4 linked regions of the Arabidopsis thaliana genome follow. The protein of the gene in region 1 binds, or shares a complex with, the protein of each later gene. Each region holds a gene or a part of one and is shown on either strand. Other genes may lie near its edges. The genes, in order: MRL7, PTAC7, PTAC14 and PTAC12.

Region 1 (3,956 bases):
ATATGGTTAATTACATCATTTAGATATATTTATCAAAAACATCTCATCCATACTTAGTAAGTTAATATTCATATCAATCTTTAATATATATTATGAATATATGTCATAATAACATGGCAGACGTGAGACGACCAATAATAAAAATAACTTAATGCCAAAACAAATTTATATGATGAGATTTATGAGTAGACTCGTTAAAATATTCCTCAGTGAAAAAGTATTGCATACCTCAATGAAATTGGTGTGAGGTCCATAAAAGAGAGTTCAAGAAAGAAAGTACACATATTTACATTTTGAGTCATCGAAGTTCCATTTTACAAATATTAATACGTCACTGAAAAATGAAAATACCTACAAGAAGATATATGTGTACTGTGTAACTGTAACAGATTGGGTGTAAGAAATCGAGAATTCTTTTACTTCTTATTAATAAAGAAGATAAAAACACATGCTTTTATGCAAACTATATAAAAGAAACACAAAACAAAATTACATTCACACATGGAACCAACTATACAATAAAACATTGCAGTTTTCAATGGGCCACGAGTCTTAATGCATGTGAAACCAGTGATCAGTGACCACGTGTTAGGCTTTAATTTGTGAATTCCATATGATCCAACAATTTAACAATATCATCTATTCTAACTTGTATAAATTTATTTCGTCTAAACTGAGCCTTCTTAACCCCAAAGATTTGGCAATCGAGTTTATGAACTCCGATTTTATCTTACTCACACATTCTAAACTATAGGAAGAATTTCTTTATATCTTCCACCCATTGACAAAGATCGTACTATGTAATAAATTAGACCGCAAACAATTAACTTTATAAGAATATACCTTGGATAAAAATAAAAACAATAAGAGAACAATGTCAAAAACAATCACTAAAAACTTTTCTTTTATTTCACAAAACAAAAACTTTTCTTGAAGGTAAGTGAAAAATATTTAATTGATTGTAGAAAAGACGTTGTTCTTTTTGTTTACGGGTTTCGGGCTACACCGTCGTCACCTGAGGCGGTCTATATGTTTGTGTCTTCGAGGCTGTCATGATACTAAAAGATTAGAAATAGAATCGAAAAATTCACTTTGTAGAAAAGTTATATATTAGCTCGAAACAAAACAGTTAGACAATAGACGTACCTCGAATTAATACGTCATCCTTATTAGATTCTTTTTCTTGTGTGTGCGAAACCTTATTAGGTTCTTCACACCGTTTTTCACAAAGGTAACGTAAGAGACGACAAATCAACACGGCACAGAACACCAACAAAAACACAATGCATCCCAAAATAATCTTCTCCATATCGTGTCTGCTTCTTCTTCTTGCATACAAATTATATTTAAACACTAGTATGTGTACTGTTAACGAGTTTACATTTTGAGGTCAGAAAATATTCCATTTTAGGATCTTATGACTATGTAAAGTTTACATATTTTATCAATGTTTCTAATTTGTGATCACATTATGGATATTGTGATCACATAACGAAATGGGAAAATGCCAAAAAAAGAACATATCCAACTTTAAAATTTGCCAAAAATATTTCAAATTTTTCATTAACGGAGGCGAGGAGCTAGGTATATGAAATTATGAATATTTCAAACGACGCTGTTTCGATTATATAAACTAAACCAAGTATCGGGAAAGATAACCGATCCAAATCAAGGACAGTAACACAAACCGAAATAATCCAAACCGGGATTATACAGACAAAGTGGATTATAAGAGCAAAAACTCAGTTACCAAAAATTTCTGCGAATTTCGTTTTGAATTTAGGAAACGAGAGAAATGAGTTTCTTCGCTGTTGCTTGCTCCGCGCCAAGATCTTCTATGCTTCTCACCGGCTTGAATTCGAGCTTCTCTGATATGCATCGCAGCCCACTATTTGTTTTCCCGGTGACTATATCATCCCGGAGCGTGAAACGCTTCGCCGCTGTTTCGTCTGATTCCGTACTAGACCCTGAATCCAAAAATCAAACTCGGTCCCGTCGCAAAAATAAGGAAGCAGTTACGCCAATTGCTGAAACCGAGAACAATGAAAAGTTTCCGACAAAGGTCCCGCGTAAATCGAAGCGTGGGCGGCGGAGTGAAGCAGACGCTGTGGAAGATTACGTGAGAAGCTCCCTCGAGCGTACTTTCTCCACCATAAAGGAGCAGAATCCGGAGGTTTTTGAGAACAAGGAGAAGGCGAATTTCATCAAAGACAGAGGCGTTGATGAAGAAGAGGAAGAAGAAGAAGAGATGGTGGTGGAAGAGGAAGATCCAGATTGGCCAGTAGATACAGACGTTGGATGGGGAATCAAAGCTTCGGAGTATTTCGATACACATCCAATCAAAAACGTGGTTGGAGATGATGGGAGTGAGATTGATTGGGAAGGTGAGATTGATGATAGTTGGGTCAAGGAGATCAATTGTTTGGAATGGGAAAGCTTTGCTTTTCATCCTAGTCCACTCGTTGTCCTTGTATTCGAGCGATACAAAAGGTATAAGCTTTGTTATTTCATTGACGAATTTTCACAAACACTTGGTGTGCATAGTAGAACTATGAAAGCTTTGTTCTTTTTCCTTCACAACATTATCTAGACTATGATTACAAGTTGAAAGAGCCATTTGAGTTAGATTCCATGATCAATTAACTGCAATGAGTATAAAAACTGAAACTTGTTCTTAGAGTGACCAAAATCTACTACTGTTGGAATAATTTTTTGAGTTGTTGTGCGTTTTATAGAGCTAGTGATAACTGGAAGACATTGAAGGAGCTTGAGAAAGCTATCAAAGTTTATTGGGATGCGAAAGATCGATTACCTCCACGGGTATGTCGAAAGCCTTCTCTAGTTGCAGTTTTAACTTGAACATTACTCTTTGTGTACTAATCTCTCTTGGTGTGATTACATGTTAATGTGGCTGCTCTCTGTTAACAAGAATCACCATGTTTTATGAAACAGGCGGTTAAGATTGACCTGAACATCGAGACAGATTTGGCATATGCTCTTAAAGCTAAGGAATGCCCACAGATTCTCTTCTTACGCGGAAACCGGATTCTGTACAGGGAGAAAGGTGATAAGCTATGTTGCTAACGTTGTTTTCATGTTTTTTTGCAATATGTGTGAGCAATAGATTATCATAGCGTATTGAACTTGATGCAGACTTTCGCACGGCGGATGAATTGGTTCATATGATTGCGCATTTCTACTATAAAGCGAAGAGGCCTTCGTGTGTCGACAAGGCTAATGTAACCCCGTACTGTTAGTTTGTAACGGGCATAGAGTAGTTTCACTCAAAAGGTCAGTCTAGGAAAATTTACATAAACTTCACTCATAGATTGTTAACATTTTTGTATGTTCTATGCAAATATAAACTTGTTCCCAAGTAATGGATTTTACTCGTCAATCTGTGCTTTCCCTAACACGTTGATTCGTAACCAATGATGCATACATATATCAAGAAGCCAGCTCCTTTTATAGAAAAATTGTTTGAAGGATAAACTATTAATGCAAAAATCCATAACATAAAAACAAAAGCATTGAATCAATAAGAAAAAGCAAACTAAAAAAAAAATGAATTCCACAAAGCTAATCTCATAATGACTAAACCTAATGTGTTTAGTCTCTTATCAGTCAAGTAGCTTCTTCCACTTGGCGTAACCAACGGTGACTATGAAAAGCACAATGCAAAGCGCAACGACAGCCCACACAACGTAACCAAAGATGTCAGGTGTGCTATACAATCCAATTGGTATATTCATACCGAACAAGTTGACCACCACTGTCCCTGCAGTTATTGCATAATTGCCTATATTCACAAGCATCATTAGGTGGATCAGTCCGTTACGTCTACTATTCTGTAGTATCTTCACGTAGGCTTCTGTGCTGTCAATATGCTCCTTCATCTGCAATTCAAAAAAATATTAAATTACCAAGGACCGGGCATTAACACATAACAACCAAAC
Region 2 (3,974 bases), on another chromosome or scaffold:
AACATCAACCGCAAGGTATTAACAATCACGGTTCTAAAAGCGTTATATATTTGATTACAAATATGCATCAAAACTAAAAACAAAAAGATATAAAACTTGTTGATTTAAAAAGGTTAAAGAGATGGTCATGAATGGAAGAAGAATCGATCTGGAGATGGACTACGCTGGGCCGCATCTAAGACCTCCCAAGCCATCCGACCCTACAATTCCAGGAACACAAGTACGTGCCCTATAGCAAAAATGAAGTATTACGAAAAGTGTCTTCCTTTTTTAATAGTGTATGAGTTTGGTTTTGAAAGGTTGATGAGGTTGTGACAAAGGAACCAACTGTCTATAACAAAGAAGACTATGGGGACTGGTCTCCAAGACCAATCCCAAAACGACCAATGCCATATGTACCTCCTCCTCCTCCTCCACCGACACGACGACCTCCTTTCACCACAAATCACTAGACCGTTACTTTTACTAAACTCTTGTCATTAGACTTTCGTCTTCATCTAGTAAATCTAAATAAATAAAATGAAATTTGGCCAAGAAAACAACAAAGCTGTGAATGCATTGATTTGGTTTTGGTAATACAAGAACAAAAGCTGTAAAGTACATTGACACTTTTTGTTATAATATATCAAGTGTAGTACTCCAACAAATAGCCAGGACCGGGTTTGTAAGGATCAGCTTCTACATAAGCCTCAGGGCGATCAAAGCCGAGATCGTTCACACGGTTGCTTAGAACATGAAAGATGGCTTTTTTGGAACCTCCATATTCGTCTCTGTTCTTGTCCACGTACTCTGTTGCTTCAGCTGCTACGCTATTGACAAATTCAAACCGATTGTCTTCCCTCAAAAGAAGCTGCTCTATGTCCATTGTCATTACCTTCCCAACTTCTCTTATCTTCCTTACTTGTTCTTCCACAAATGGAACTCTTTGCATTTTGTAACGCAACATATCGTCCTTCTTCGTCTACAGACAAAACAGGAGAACGACATAGAGAGATTAAAAGCGGGACAAATATAAACAAAGATTTTGCATTGTTCTGGCTTTGGTAATTATTGAAATCTCAAAACCTCATGAACCTGATAGGATCAAACAACAGAAACTGATAGTTTGTAGAATATAGTACAAGTAAAAAGATCACACTAATATTTTATGTAATGTGTAACTCCCACCTAAAAATCCCAGTATCTCAGATAAGACAATCTCCAATTTCTTGCATGTGCCATAGAGATAAGACCATGGTTACTTGAATATATATAAGTAAACACTAACTAGAGGTAAAAAGCCATGTTTCTTTAAGTTCATCAACAGTATAAGAACTAAAGCTAGCGTCTGAAATGAGCATAGTTCAACAAAGACACTTTTGAAACAGGTGTGTAAGCTAATTTGGAATCAAGAAGGGTAAACTAGAAATCGCAAAAACTCAGAGAAGACAATCTCCATCTCTCCTTCTATGCATCATATCAATTACTATGACTAAGTAAAGACTAACTAGAGTTAATAGTCATGCCTCATCAGTGAGTTAAAGCTAATCTGTGATCCTACTAAAAATTGCAACTTTTTAGAAATGTCGTCTCCAAGCAAAGAAAAACCCTTATTTTGATTCCTGATTCGACTTATGTCATAAACATGAAACTGGAAAATCACCAAAATATCAAGTTTAGTACTTACCAATGTTCTCCTCCGCCAAACACGGCGTCCATTATCATCTCTCTGAATCCCACAAGAAACCTGAAAAAATCAACCAGATTCACTCAAAACTCTCCCCCAAAAACCCACAAATTCGTATATATATCAACCATTCAAAACCTGAGACTGAAATGTGCATCGCAAATTCCCACTTCTCGTATCAATAATCTGAATATACAATAATTGAAAATGAGAAATCACATTGACATCAAAGGATGATTATGAGAGAAGCAAAGGAGGGATTTTTACAGGTAAAATCGAAGATGGAGAAGAACAGGTGAAGGAAGCCATTGATACACAGTGAATAGATAGAACCGGATCCTATTTTATATGTAAGCTTCTCCGGTTCGGTTTAATGGTTTATCTTTGGTTGTGTTCGTATTTGGACAAATCATTCCTAACCGAACCGGGCATTTTTTTTTCTCGTCATTTTATCTATACAATAATAATTCAACTTGCACAAAAAAAAAATCTAAAACAAATCAAAACTAACAACAAATCTAAAATCATATAATTTTACTTGGTACACAAAAATAATATTTTTCAGAAATCAATCAATCTAATAATAGTTAGTGGGAACCCTCTATTGTGACTTTGTGAGCTATGTATATACATAAGACATTACAAGATGGAACCTCAACATAGTTGATAAGCAAAGAAATTAACTCTATCGATCACCGGATGAGAAAATGGCTTCTAGGAATCATCTCTTAATATGTTGTGTTCTCTTAGCTATGATCATGATCGGGCATGCTCAAACCAACCGGAAACTTCTTGACGATAATGTACCATCATCTTATTTTCCATCGATGGAGTCTCGTCAGGTTTTTCTTCCTTCTTCTCATCGTTCACTTGTTGCTGAGCATTACGACAGATCACCACCTCCACCACCACCCAAAAGATCAGAAGTTGAACCCCAAACTGATGGTGTCTAGACCATTGAGTGATGGTGAGAATCGGCCCTGATGAAAAGACTCGTGAGTTGGTACCATGTTTTGAAAGAGCATACATATGTTTTGATGTTTGGTTTTATGATCCGGTTTATAAGAGCTACCTAATTTTTGAAGGCTTGGTTTGATTTAGTTTTCTTTGCTTTCTAAAGTAAAATCTCCGGAAAAGTTGTCTCTGTTTTTTTCTTCTTTATTTTTATCTGTATACGTGTACTTCATTCTTGGTGACAATAAATTTGACTTGTTTCAAATTAATTAATGTAATATTTGTAAATGGTAAGTTAATACAACAGAAAAGTCGATGATACTATCTTTTTGAATAGGTAGATTTACCGAACGAATACCACATTACCACGGCTTAAAAAAAAAAAAAGAAAAAAGGGAGGATTAGTCTCAAACATTCTTAATCAATTTCAAAAACTGGATAAATAAAAGCAAAAGTTTCAAAAACATAATTATTCTTGCAACAGTAATTGATGCAAAATATATATTAAACTGTCAAATAATATTTCGAGAACGAAATTGTATATATAAACTTGCTGTTAATTTGGTTAAAATCGGCAGTAAAATAATTCACAGCAAGTTTTACTACGCTTGTAAACAAAACTGCATTCACACTCTGACAGTCATAAGGTATACACAAAATCATAGAATCATGGACATATTTTGTAACACATATATTGACAATTTGACATTACGTAAATGCAATTAAAACTGGAATGTAATTTCCGGTTTACCAGTCAACATACAAAACCAGCTTTCGGTTTAATATTCGTCCAAATAAGTGTAGAGCGTATCGTCCTTCTTTGTTTTGCGTCGGCTAAGTAGCGCCTTTAGCAGCCGTTTGCTCTTGCTCGGTTGTTGTTGATGCTCTGGTTCTTTCTGAGCTTCTTTCTCGAACGCAACCCGAACCGAAGCCGATCTTCTTGGTTCTGACGGATACTGAGCCAGAAAATATCAAGAATCAACCGTTAGAGATAGAGCCTAGAAGTGAGTGTTTTTGAAATGTAACCGAAGCTTACCCGTTTAGGAGTTGGAGTTACCGCTCTACTCTTGCTCGGGGTTGTTGGCCGGCTGATTGATGACGGTCGGATAGCAACCGAACCAGATCTTAGCAGCGGAAACCGATGTGGTGATACTGCTCGCTTATCTATTTTACCATGCACACTGTTTAAAGGTTCTGTTTACATATTAAGCCAAAAACGGCAATTTCAAGGTGAAGCTGTCTTTTACCTTGTTCTTTCTTTGGTGCGGTGGCGATAGAGGAGAACGAAAAGGTTGCTGAACGTTGAGGTTTCCGTTGAGAGGGAGACTGAAGTATCGGTTTTCTGCAAAAAGCG
Region 3 (5,409 bases), 3.2 Mb from region 1:
GCTAGATCGAATCAAGTTTACGTACAACAACTTGTTCGATAATTGATAATCTATAATTAAAAATGTTAATATTCTACTGAACGAGATTCTAAATCCAAAAGAATGAGACAAAGGAATTATCTTCGATCCACCAAAAAGATCAAGATGCTTATTTTTTTTTATTTTTTTTTGTCTATTGTTTGGTTGATTTATACTTTAATTAATCTTAAATTCAAAGGAATAATTTCATTATGCATGGCAAGAATTATGAAACGCATAGTGGTCTTACTTCAAAAATAAAATATTCAACATATTGAAGATAATTATTAAGAATCAAGTTAGTCAATGTAAAGTATCAAATAAGTAGCCAAAGGTAAGAAATAGATTGCTTATGGTTCTGTATAACTCAGAGTAGGTTTGTTTGGTTTGGACCGTAACTTTTTTTGAAAATAGTAATGTTAGACAAAGAGTAGAAGAAACGCAATATGATTTGATTGATTAGTGTAACCACAAGGTTAATAAATAGTATAAGTAATAATCAATTATTGAGACTAATCAACATTATAGTTCGGCGTAAGAGACACAATTACCCTAAAACATTTGAGACACTAATCATGCTTAGGGACTAAAAACATGAACATGAATTAATCAAAAGAGAAAAAAAAAACACAGATGATTCCAAAGCGTTTGTTGGCTAATCAAACTCATTAAAGCAGCCAAGAAAAGAAGAGGTTATGATTTGTTTGTGATTGCGATTAAAACAAACTAACACACTTAGTCTAACTGTTCCATACAAATACATAACCTTACACTAAACAAAAAAAAAAACAGGAACCTTTCAATTACATGGTGCAGTTTCTAAGTAGCTCAAGGGAGTGAGCACCAAGTATGAATCTCACTCAGCTCATAATTATTTTTTGCTTGAATCAATAGAGTAACCGTTCTTGATAGATGTCAAGTGCCTTGATAATTTTTCCGATGAACATCTTTCTGTGCATTCTATACTTAACCGCTGTTGCAAATGTTGTCCTTGCTTCTGACATTGAATCTGTCACAACAACAAGAGGGAAAGCTTAAGTTTTAGTATATGAGCGATAATAGATAATAACACATTGGTGTATATATCTTTAGTGTAATACCTAGCAACTTCTGGTCTTGCTCTGCTGTTGTGGGATATTCCGCAAGCATCTTTCGACATTCATCTTGCAATTCTTTAACTGCTTTTCTTTCCGCACTCGGTATTGGAGGAAGATCTATGTCTGACCAAGTAGGTAATGTTCTTGCTGCAGCGATAACTGCTCCATCAACAAAAGTATCGCCCCTCGATAACTCGCCTGCCACAGATTTAGGTAACATTGGTGCTCATTTCTCCATCTTTTGTCAAGGAATAGAGAGGAAACAGAAGAAAAGGAACTTACTGTCATGGTAATATTCTTCAGGAAGACCATAAATATTGAAGACCGATAAAAAGGAATTTAAATGGATGCGAGAATCTCCAGAGAACTTTATAGCATCCCACGGATTCTGCAGCAGACCAGAAAAACTGAATAAACGAGAAAACTTGCAAAGGAAACATAGTTTGTGTAAGATGAATGTGATTGTCGTAAAAAGCATTACCACAGGAGTTGAGAAGCCGTATCTTTCCATAAGCATGTTGTTTTTCTGGCCTGGCATGTAATTAATCGTCATCTGTGAAAAGCATTATAAGAAGATAGATAAAGCAGTGAAGTGAGGCTGACACTTAGGAACATTTGAGTCTCTTACCTCTTCGCCTTTCTTAATGTCTTGACCAGCATTTGACATAACCTCCAGCATGCGATCTTTAGGACGCCAATGTAGGAAACAGTTTGGTTCAAATGAGTGGTTTAGCATGTCTGCAGAGAATGATCAATCGTGAGATTCTTATTTAGTTCCTCAACAAAAAGTTCATTGATACTAAATCTTAATTTATCAATAACTACACAACATGCTCTTCCTTACCAGCATAAGGAATCATCATATTTAATTCCTGAACCAAAGCACCGACCCTAGTTTGCATACTGATGCATCGTGTCTGTGCCATACTAACCGCCCATATGAATCTTTCTGGATCCTCGGCAAGCCTTTTGATTTTGAGAGGAACACCTGAATGCTGAGACGGAATACAATTTGCCAATGAAAAACAAAGCAATAACCAAATGTCAAGATATACTGGAAACACATATATAAGGCCTCATTACCCAATTCTTTTCCCAAAAATCTAGGATTCGTTTCTGTTGTTGTCTGATAGTTGAAACAAGATCAGGATCTTGAAGCTCCGCAAGGTCTTCCTATAGAAAAACACACAGAATTAGATATCATCAAGCATTAGTTTAAAGACACAAGTAAATGTGACCAGTTTCAAATGGCAATCATATCAATTCAATCCACCTCTGTAGCTAAAAGCAAGCTGCTGCACTCATCAGCAGCCGGCAGGAAATCGCCATAGAGCCGCCAGAAGTGATCATCTCGATCAAAAGAGAATAACAGAAGACACGCTAATCTGATATCCCAATCAATCTGTAAGCACAAATGTGAAAGGACTTTGAGAAAGATAAGAACTTTCGAGTTGATGATATCGAAATAGCACAAATGTGTTACTACCTCAGGATCAGTCGAGTTAATGATATCGAAAATAGGATGACCAATTGGTACAATATCAGGGAAAAACATCCAAGGGTGCTTCTGTCTAATGGTTATCATCAGTTCAAGAGGAATCTCCATAATCACCTGCAGAGAGAAAAGAAAACAAAATAATCTAAAGAGAAGAACAAAACAAAAAGTTGTCAACTTTTTAACTAAGAAGACTGACTCTAGCTCGACGGCGAGGTTCGATATCCTTAGAAGCATAGACACCAAAACCATCTGGACCTTCTTTAAACTCAACTCCATAAGCTCTCACACTTCGAACATAGCCAATTTTGTAGAAATCCGGATCTGCTGTCTCCAGCTAGTGAAGAAACAAAAGACAAAAACCCTAAATCAATCTCACATATGAGGGAAATGCACAGAATTGTCTAAAGTTACTGCCGTTAGAACTCATTTGTACCCTACATCAATCTCACAGATGAGGGCAATGCACAAGATTGTCTAAAGTTTCTGCCTTAAGAAGTCCCCTATATCAATCTCACAGATGGAGGCAATGCACAGAATTGTCTAAAGTTACTGCCTTAAGAACTCATATGTACCCTAAATCAATATCACATATGGGGGCAATGAACAGAATTGTCTAAAGGTACTACCTTTAGAACTCATTTGTACTCTAAATCAATCTCCCAGATAGGGGCAATGCAAAGAATTGTCAAAGGTACTGCCTTTTAGAACTCTATAAACCCTAAAACACTCAAAACTGAAAATCCTAACCTCGGACGAGGAAGATTCTTCGGAAGCAGGAGATTGAAACAGAGGGAAAGGTTGTGTCTCAATAGACGCAACTTTGATGGGTCGTACACCATTTTGTCTGTCTCTTAATAAATTGCTTCTGGGTCTTGGTGCTGACACAATTCCGTTGCAGAAACCCTTTGTCCGACCGGAAAAAACATGAGGAGTACTCAGAAAATTCAGACAAAGACAGACACACACACACACACATGACATAGAAACATTAGGTGATACAGAGAGATAAGATTAAGAACCTGAGGTTTGGAGATAAAGGTGTTGGTCAGGAACTGAAGAGAGACTGAAGAAGCCATTCCTCAACAGAAGAAAATGGGTTTAGCAGAGGGAGACGAAGATCGTTATCCTTTGTTTTCAAGATTTTAACTCTTAGTTTACGATATAATTTATTTGGAATAATATGTTGCAAGAAGCTTTCATAGCTCAGTTGGTTAGAGCACCCGTTTAGTAAGCGGGAGGTCTTGAGTTCAACTCTCAATGAAAGCAATATTTGTTTTATTTTCTTCAAAAGTCTCTTTACATCCAAATTATTTATTTTTTTGCCATGAAAATATACACAACTCTATCTCACTCTTTTATTTTTACAGTATAATTCATATGTACATTAATTGATCTCAAACATTTCTTTGTGTATGACAGTTTTGGTTACTTTGGTCATATACTATTAGAGTGTAAAAGGCTCGGCTTCTGATGGAACTTCACGAGCTCTTTGGCTCTCAAGTGGCATATACTGTGACATGATCGTCATAATCTCTGAGTCCATGTAAGACTGTTAATAGGAACACCAAAGAAAAGTTAGTTTGGTAATCCTAAAACCGTTATTAAGTACAAAAATGCTTTTGTGGAATCAGAAAGAGTAGTAGTACCCTGAACCGGTATTTGTAGAATATATAACCAGCTAAACCGGCTACTGCAACGATAGCCAGTATCAAGAATGTGAGCCACCATGCCGTTTTGGATCCATATCTCTCTGTAACAAACAATCATCAATGTATATTAATTAGATACTGTTATGGAATTTGAGTACTCTTAAATCTTGATTGATAAAATTTTACCTATACAAGTATCTTGATCGTTTATGTAAAGCCGGTCACCAGAACAGCTGCATTTGTATCCACCCCATGAGTTCTTGCATCTGCAACCGCTACATTGACATACCGAACGCTCTTTACATTCGTTAATATCTGCAATAGAGCCAAATCAGAAAACATAATTACATTGTTGGTAATATGATTATGTGGTTTCTTTCGAGATTTTAATCGATAAGTTAAGAGTTATGTACCTTCACACGTCAAACCGTCGCCTTGGAAACCTTCAGGACATTTGCAGCCAGTAGATACAGAGTCCTAATTTTTCATAAATAACAAAGAGATGATTGAACTGAAAACAAGAACTTTGTAAGGGAGGGTTTGGCTTATGACAAGAGAATCACTAAACTGAGCAAGCAGAGAAAGTTAAGCCGTTCCTTGTGTCAGACCAGCAACCTCCATTGTTCATAGTACACCTCGCAGGCCCATAAGCTGCAAAGCTCAATCACAAACCAGAGACTATTCAAGAAACCGGTCTCAACATTTGAGAGCTATGTTGTGTGAAATGTGTGAACAACTTACGTGTACATGAAGTGTACCCGTCTCCTTTATATTGAACACCTTTTACAACCGGACACTCGCAGAGTCTTCCTCTGAATGTGTCCTGATCAAACAAAAAAGATTCAAGTATTATAGGACTAGAAAATATCTCTCTAGATTTTCACATTTTCTCTAGTTTTCAAAACAATTCCAAACAAATTGATACTGATATTCAATATAGTGGTGAGATGTGATGTGGTAAGCTCGGTTTTACGACATACTTGACAAGCAGTGATGTTTGCTTTTGTATCCTGCCAGCAACCACCATTGTTTTCAAGGCACTCATTTGTCTCTAGACCTGTGTTTAAGCAAATGGCAGGCTCCGATGTTTCATTAAAACCAGCGCATATCGCCTTTAAAACCGCGGTTCTCTCCAATCTCCCTTCAC
Region 4 (5,154 bases), on another chromosome or scaffold:
TAACCGATAGTTGATTGTTAAAAAGAATGTTGATTCAAGAATTTTGTAAGAATTGCAACATTGTTGAACAACAGTGGCAAAACATACCATAAACTAATAGATACTAGTAACTATGATCACTGATCAAATAATGTATAAATCGGAGATTATTCTATGTAACATTTAACAAAAGTGTATTACAAGTAAATAAAGAATAAACTTTTTAAGTTACGAATGGTAAAAAACTAAAGAAATTTGTTAGTTCTCTGTTTGTATGCATGCATTGTCTCTCTGCTAAAATGTTCATGACAAGTCCACATCTACTCAAATACTCATCGAGGTGATTATCCTCGTCGTCGCTTTTATACACATGTAATATTACACACATCTATACATGGAGTATATTTTTAGCGAACGGATAGGTGCCATGTGGAGGTAAGTACACGTCGCCACTTGTGAGATTCTGTTCCAATTACTTGTGGAAGTGAATTATGTCGCAGAAAAAGTTTGACGAGATTTCCAATTAGCCACTCATTTATTAACGGTCACCAAAAGCATCAAATTACAGTTTTTTTTAGTGCTTTGAGATTCTTTTCCCTGACATATTGTTTTATGTAAAATAGCAAACTCGAAAAGATAGTAATAGTATCCAAATTATTATTATTACAGTATTATTTTTGATAAAAGGTTGTTATTCTTTTTTTATTTTTTTATTTATTGTATCTATTATATAATTCGAAACTGCTATATTGTTTGTCTTTAGTTTGCATCTCTAGCTTTATATATGCTTATGAAGTTTCAAATGTTGCTATTATATGCTGCTGATTCTTTTTTTCTTATGTAGGAGTATAGGTTTGACCGTTTGACAATACGAGAGGAAGAGGAAGTTGGGAAAAAACGACGCCGCATGGATAGTCTCGCTCGTTGCACGAATAGTTCAAAAGGTGACGTTAGGCGCGTGCGGGTCAGCGAAACTTGTGCCTAGTCAGACCTTTGTGGTATAGTCTTACGTGGTCTACGTCTGCCAAATTTCAGAAAACCAAAAAAACAATTATATGTTTGGTCCCTAGAAATAAATATTATCGTCGTTTAGCAAGTTTGAAGTAAGCAATAGTAGTATTAATGTATAAAAAGTGTAGGATATTAGGTTAAAATAGGCCTGTGATAGATACCGTAATGTCTATGATGTGTCTGGTCAGACCCATTTAATATTGGTTCAGACCATATTAGCACATTAGCCAATTGCCATTCACGTTGGGTCCAAACCTTCTTCCTTCTATAGTGTCTTAGACAAGTACGTACACACGCTGAAGTACAAATCATATACAAGTATTTATTCACTTAAAGGTACAATGATTGATGTTTTTTGTGTAACATGTTCCTCTAGTCCACTATATTAATCCATTACGGAGAGAACTATCTAAAAATTGTATAATCGCAATTGTAAATTGCAAATCTATTAACAAAACTAAGATGTGTTCACATGCATACTTCGATAAACATTCTTCCATATATCTTTTGTGTTAAGGCATGTTTTAAATGATCAAATCACATATTGATTTTATTTGAAAGTATATCAATATAATAAACTGTTTAGAAGATGTTTTGCCAAAAAAGAAAAAGATGTTTTGTTCTTCTTGGAAGTGTTTGTTAAAGCCCAAGAGAGACTTCAAGCTCACAATTTCTCAAAGATCCATTAATACTGGGCCTTAGTTAGATATACCAAGCCCATATACTTTCTCTTCACAAATTCCCGTTCTAATACCGGCGCGTCGTGAAATCTAGAGATTTTGCCGTCACCAGAATATGTTAATAAACGCAGGAGGAGATAAATGGATAAACCCAAAAACTGACAAGTGAAAACCTTTTGAAGCCAAAACCCCCTTCAAAATCAAGCTCCATGATAGAAAACCCTCTTCCTACATAATCTCCTGGTAAAACAAAAAGGTTAGTCTTTTTCTCCTCAACTTCGAGTGTGAAGCGTTTGTAAAAATGCCCAAAAAAATCGTACCTTGTTATGGACAATTTGTTGTATCAGGTTCTTCTTATCTGGGTTTTATGTTTTGTACTAGTTTGAAACTGATTCTGAGCATAATTGAATCGGTTGTTTTTGTAAATGATACAGTGAGAAGTAGAAAGAGTGTAAATGGCGTCAATATCAACCACCACCTGGCTCTACCGAGGTCAAGTATGCACAGACAGTGGAAAGTCCAGTAATTGTATTGTGCAGGTTGGTTCTTACACATCAAGTTTCTTGTTCTGATCCAAACTTATCTAATTTAGAGATAGTGAACATTTTAGCTTGTTTCAAGATGTCAAACTGGTAAAAGTTTGTTTATGTATGTAGAGACGGGTTAAATGTGGGTTTCCACTCAAGACATTGCATGCTGGGATTACTTCTAGGGATCGGTCTTTGCGACATTGTATCAAATGCAAGAAAGAGGATGGAGATGGTGATGTAAGTGAAGGGTCTAAGAAGAGTGAAGAAGGATTTGAGTATGTGACTGTTGAGAGGCATCCTTACCATAGTTATATGGATTCAACTTCTGGGAAGCTTGAGCCAGCGTCCGGGGCTCGGGCTAGTATTCCAGGTGAGGATTATTGGCCTGAAGGAACTTCGAGCCGGGTTAGAGCTGCTAGAGCTCCTCAACCAGCTGGTGAGTCTTCGAGTTTTCCTTCCTATGGAAAGAATCCTGGAAGTAGGAGAAAGAAGAATAGGAAAGCTACTGAGGAGAATGTGACTGTTGAAACGAATGACGAAGTATCCGATTCTGAGGATAGCTCTGAAGAAGAGGAAAATGATTCCTCGGATGGGTTTGTTACCTATAAGAATGAATTTGAGAGAGAAGAAGAGGAGACTGGTTTTGAATTAGACAAAAAGCTTGGAAGGCCACATCCTTTCATTGATCCTACGAAAAAGAAACAAATTGAAAAGACACTCACGAGCGATGAATCGTGGTGGAACTGGAGGAAACCGGAGAAAGAACAATGGTCAAGATGGCAAAGAAGACGTCCTGATGTTGAAACGGTTAGTCATCACAATGATTTCAGGTTTAAACATGTGTGTGTTTCCCCAATGTTTGATCCATTATGGTATTTTTTTTTGTTGTTGATGCAGGTTTTCCTCAAGGCAATGGCAGAAACAGGACAAGTGAAGCTCTATGGGGAAGAACCAACACTCACAGAAACTTCTCTTTATAGAGCAAGAAGGCATCTTTTCAAGGAAGAGAGGTATATTGATCTAACGAACTTTCAAGTGAAAATCTGTTTTATTAGGATTTTCTTTCGAGTTTTCTTTCTCTCAGGCTGCAAGCTGAGCGAGAGAGATTAGCGAAAGAAGGTCCAATGGCTTTTTATTCTGAATGGGTTAAAGCATGGAAGAGAGACACGTCAAGAGAAGCTGTACAAAAACATTTTGAAGAGACAGGTGAAGATGAAAACACACAACTGATTGAGATGTTCTCTCATCAAACAGATAGAGAATACCGGATAATGATGGGAACTGATATTAGGATCAAGAGAGATCCATTGGCAATGCGGATGAGGGAGGATCAAATTAAGCAAAGTAAGAAACTTTGACCGTTGAAGTTTGAACTAACTCATCATGGATATTCAATCGTTCGACTAACATTCTCGGTTTCTTGCAGTTTGGGGCGGGGATCCAGTTTACCCGACAATTAACTACATTCAAGATCCTAATGCGGTTATGGATTTCAGAGGACCTGATTTTCATGAGCCTACACCAAATATGCTCTCTTATCTAAAGGAGGTTAGTCTGCTTTGCTCAAAGTTCTATTCTTTTTCTTTCTTGGTCTGATTGTTTTCTTTGTTTCTGATTTGATCAGAATGGCAAAGTCATCTCAAGAGAGATGCATGAAGCACTACTGACAAAAGAGAAAACCGAGCAGCTCGAGGTAAAGTGACCAATCTTTCATTTCCTTTGACACAACTCTGATTGTGAGATTTCAGGGTTTCGCTTGATATGTTCGATAAATTGTATGAATGCAGGTACCTGACATGGATGATGCAATGGCACAAGCTGTTGATATTGGTGAAAACGATGTGAGTATCATCGATTACATCAGATCCTCTTCTTCTTTATTGTTTCTTGATGTATCATGCTCTGAAACATCTCCGGACATTTTTTGACAGGACGACGAAGACGATGCAGATGTAGAAAAAGACGACGAGAAAGTGCCGAGGAACTGGAGTGTCTTGAAGGAAACCCCTGAGCTTCGCACCGCCAAGGTAAAGTCACATTCAACTTGAGCCACATTATATGTCTTGTGTGGTGTGTTGATGTTATGAGCTTGGTTTCTTAAACAGCCTAAACCAAAGAAGGAAGGTCGGATGTCTCTAGACGAGGCCGTGGATGATGCTGAGAACTTAACTGATTTTCTCATGGACTTTGAAGAGGAGACTGATCCTTAAACCTGGTTTTCGTATTTCTTATGTAAAGACGTTATTTAGGGCAACTTTTTCTTCACTGGTTTTGCTTGTATACTTGGAAGGGATGATATCATTTAGGAGTGGATTTGAGTTTTGCAAGTGATTTGTATCATATGGAATTCAAATATTTTTGATTGAATTTATAGAGTTTTGAAAGTGATTTGTTAACTGTACTGCATCCTGTTTAGTTCAGCTTGAGACGGTTTAATCTGTTAAAACAAGACCTAAACCGAATTCGCAAGGAATATGATTTCACAATTAGTATCTGTCTCCTTTTTTTGTCATGTGTAGTTTAAAACCAAAGCCACAGCTTGTCAAACATTATTGTTTCGTGAAACGAATTGGACCAACAAAATCCTACAAATGAAATGAGGAATGTTTTGGTGTATAGAGAGAAACATTACTTAATCTCACTTGTTTCTGGTGATGACTCTATGGGTCAAGTCAATAAGTGCCCGCCTCGATCTTTTGACATCTTCATTGTCTGTTTCAGGTAGAGACCCGATTGCAGCTGCTGCTAGATTCGCATGTTCCATGGCTAATTCTCTTGCCCTCTGTATTCCCTTGCTCTTCCCAAGATACTCTAAAGCCTGTGTGATATAATAGTATTAGAGACTATGAAAACATATTATAGATTTTAGGAGATTTGTTTCTTTCAAACTTACAATGTCAACATTCCTAGGATCTTTTTCAACTTGATCAACAACTTCGCGTAGTTGAGGAAAC

The links.
Region 2: MRL7 (region 1) and PTAC7 share a complex: the UniProt entries of both Arabidopsis thaliana proteins name them as parts of the transcriptionally active chromosome (TAC) complex.
Region 3: MRL7 (region 1) and PTAC14 share a complex: the UniProt entries of both Arabidopsis thaliana proteins name them as parts of the transcriptionally active chromosome (TAC) complex.
Region 4: MRL7 (region 1) and PTAC12 share a complex: the UniProt entries of both Arabidopsis thaliana proteins name them as parts of the transcriptionally active chromosome (TAC) complex.

The regions. Positions count from the first base shown.
Region 1 is NC_003075.7:14,124,668-14,128,623, reverse strand, and holds MRL7 (polyadenylate-binding protein 2-binding protein), read left to right. Parts: upstream 1-1,541; 5' UTR 1,542-1,795; coding exon 1,796-2,490; intron 2,491-2,735; coding exon 2,736-2,820; intron 2,821-2,952; coding exon 2,953-3,064; intron 3,065-3,153; coding exon 3,154-3,257; 3' UTR 3,258-3,412; downstream 3,413-3,956. Other genes in the region: MGT5 (magnesium transport 5), read right to left, coding at 3,621-3,896. UniProt on the Arabidopsis thaliana protein: Plays an essential role in early steps of chloroplast development. Involved in the regulation of plastid gene expression. May positively regulate plastid-encoded RNA polymerase (PEP) activity through binding to FSD3 and CITRX/TRXZ.
Region 2 is NC_003076.8:8,275,751-8,279,724, reverse strand, and holds PTAC7 (plastid transcriptionally active7), read right to left. Parts: upstream 2,026-3,974; 5' UTR 1,976-2,025; coding exon 1,934-1,975; intron 1,853-1,933; coding exon 1,805-1,852; intron 1,727-1,804; coding exon 1,643-1,726; intron 962-1,642; coding exon 626-961; 3' UTR 531-625; downstream 1-530. Other genes in the region: AT5G24316 (proline-rich family protein), read left to right, coding at 1-15, 113-220, 300-452; AT5G24313 (uncharacterized protein), read left to right, coding at 2,374-2,619; ABIL3 (ABL interactor-like protein 3), read right to left, coding at 3,400-3,576, 3,657-3,784, 3,868-3,962. UniProt on the Arabidopsis thaliana protein: Essential for chloroplast development, especially for thylakoid formation. Involved in plastid gene expression, probably by maintaining plastid-encoded RNA polymerase (PEP) activity.
Region 3 is NC_003075.7:10,877,194-10,882,602, reverse strand, and holds PTAC14 (plastid transcriptionally active 14), read right to left. Parts: upstream 3,787-5,409; 5' UTR 3,690-3,786; coding exon 3,633-3,689; intron 3,578-3,632; exon of another isoform or gene 3,517-3,577; coding exon 3,361-3,516; intron 2,948-3,360; coding exon 2,810-2,947; intron 2,763-2,809; exon of another isoform or gene 2,728-2,762; coding exon 2,602-2,727; intron 2,518-2,601; coding exon 2,389-2,517; intron 2,289-2,388; coding exon 2,199-2,288; intron 2,111-2,198; coding exon 1,960-2,110; intron 1,854-1,959; coding exon 1,744-1,853; intron 1,669-1,743; coding exon 1,597-1,668; intron 1,504-1,596; coding exon 1,398-1,503; intron 1,314-1,397; coding exon 1,119-1,313; intron 1,028-1,118; coding exon 906-1,027; 3' UTR 551-905; downstream 1-550. Other genes in the region: VSR7 (VACUOLAR SORTING RECEPTOR 7), read right to left, coding at 4,058-4,162, 4,260-4,363, 4,449-4,577, 4,676-4,739, 4,831-4,913, 5,004-5,085, 5,243-5,403. UniProt on the Arabidopsis thaliana protein: Essential for chloroplast development, especially for thylakoid formation. Involved in plastid gene expression, probably by maintaining plastid-encoded RNA polymerase (PEP) activity.
Region 4 is NC_003071.7:14,581,317-14,586,470, reverse strand, and holds PTAC12 (plastid transcriptionally active 12), read left to right. Parts: upstream 1-1,673; 5' UTR 1,674-1,926; intron 1,927-2,104; 5' UTR 2,105-2,125; coding exon 2,126-2,209; intron 2,210-2,326; coding exon 2,327-3,007; intron 3,008-3,097; coding exon 3,098-3,210; intron 3,211-3,284; coding exon 3,285-3,544; intron 3,545-3,626; coding exon 3,627-3,748; intron 3,749-3,824; coding exon 3,825-3,893; intron 3,894-3,987; coding exon 3,988-4,041; intron 4,042-4,131; coding exon 4,132-4,227; intron 4,228-4,305; coding exon 4,306-4,410; 3' UTR 4,411-4,636; downstream 4,637-5,154. Other genes in the region: GPS1 (geranyl diphosphate synthase 1), read right to left, coding at 4,839-5,018, 5,094-5,154. UniProt on the Arabidopsis thaliana protein: Involved in plastid gene expression. Acidic transcriptional coactivator necessary for the transactivation of many PIFs target genes (class B genes), particularly during the regulation of hypocotyl growth.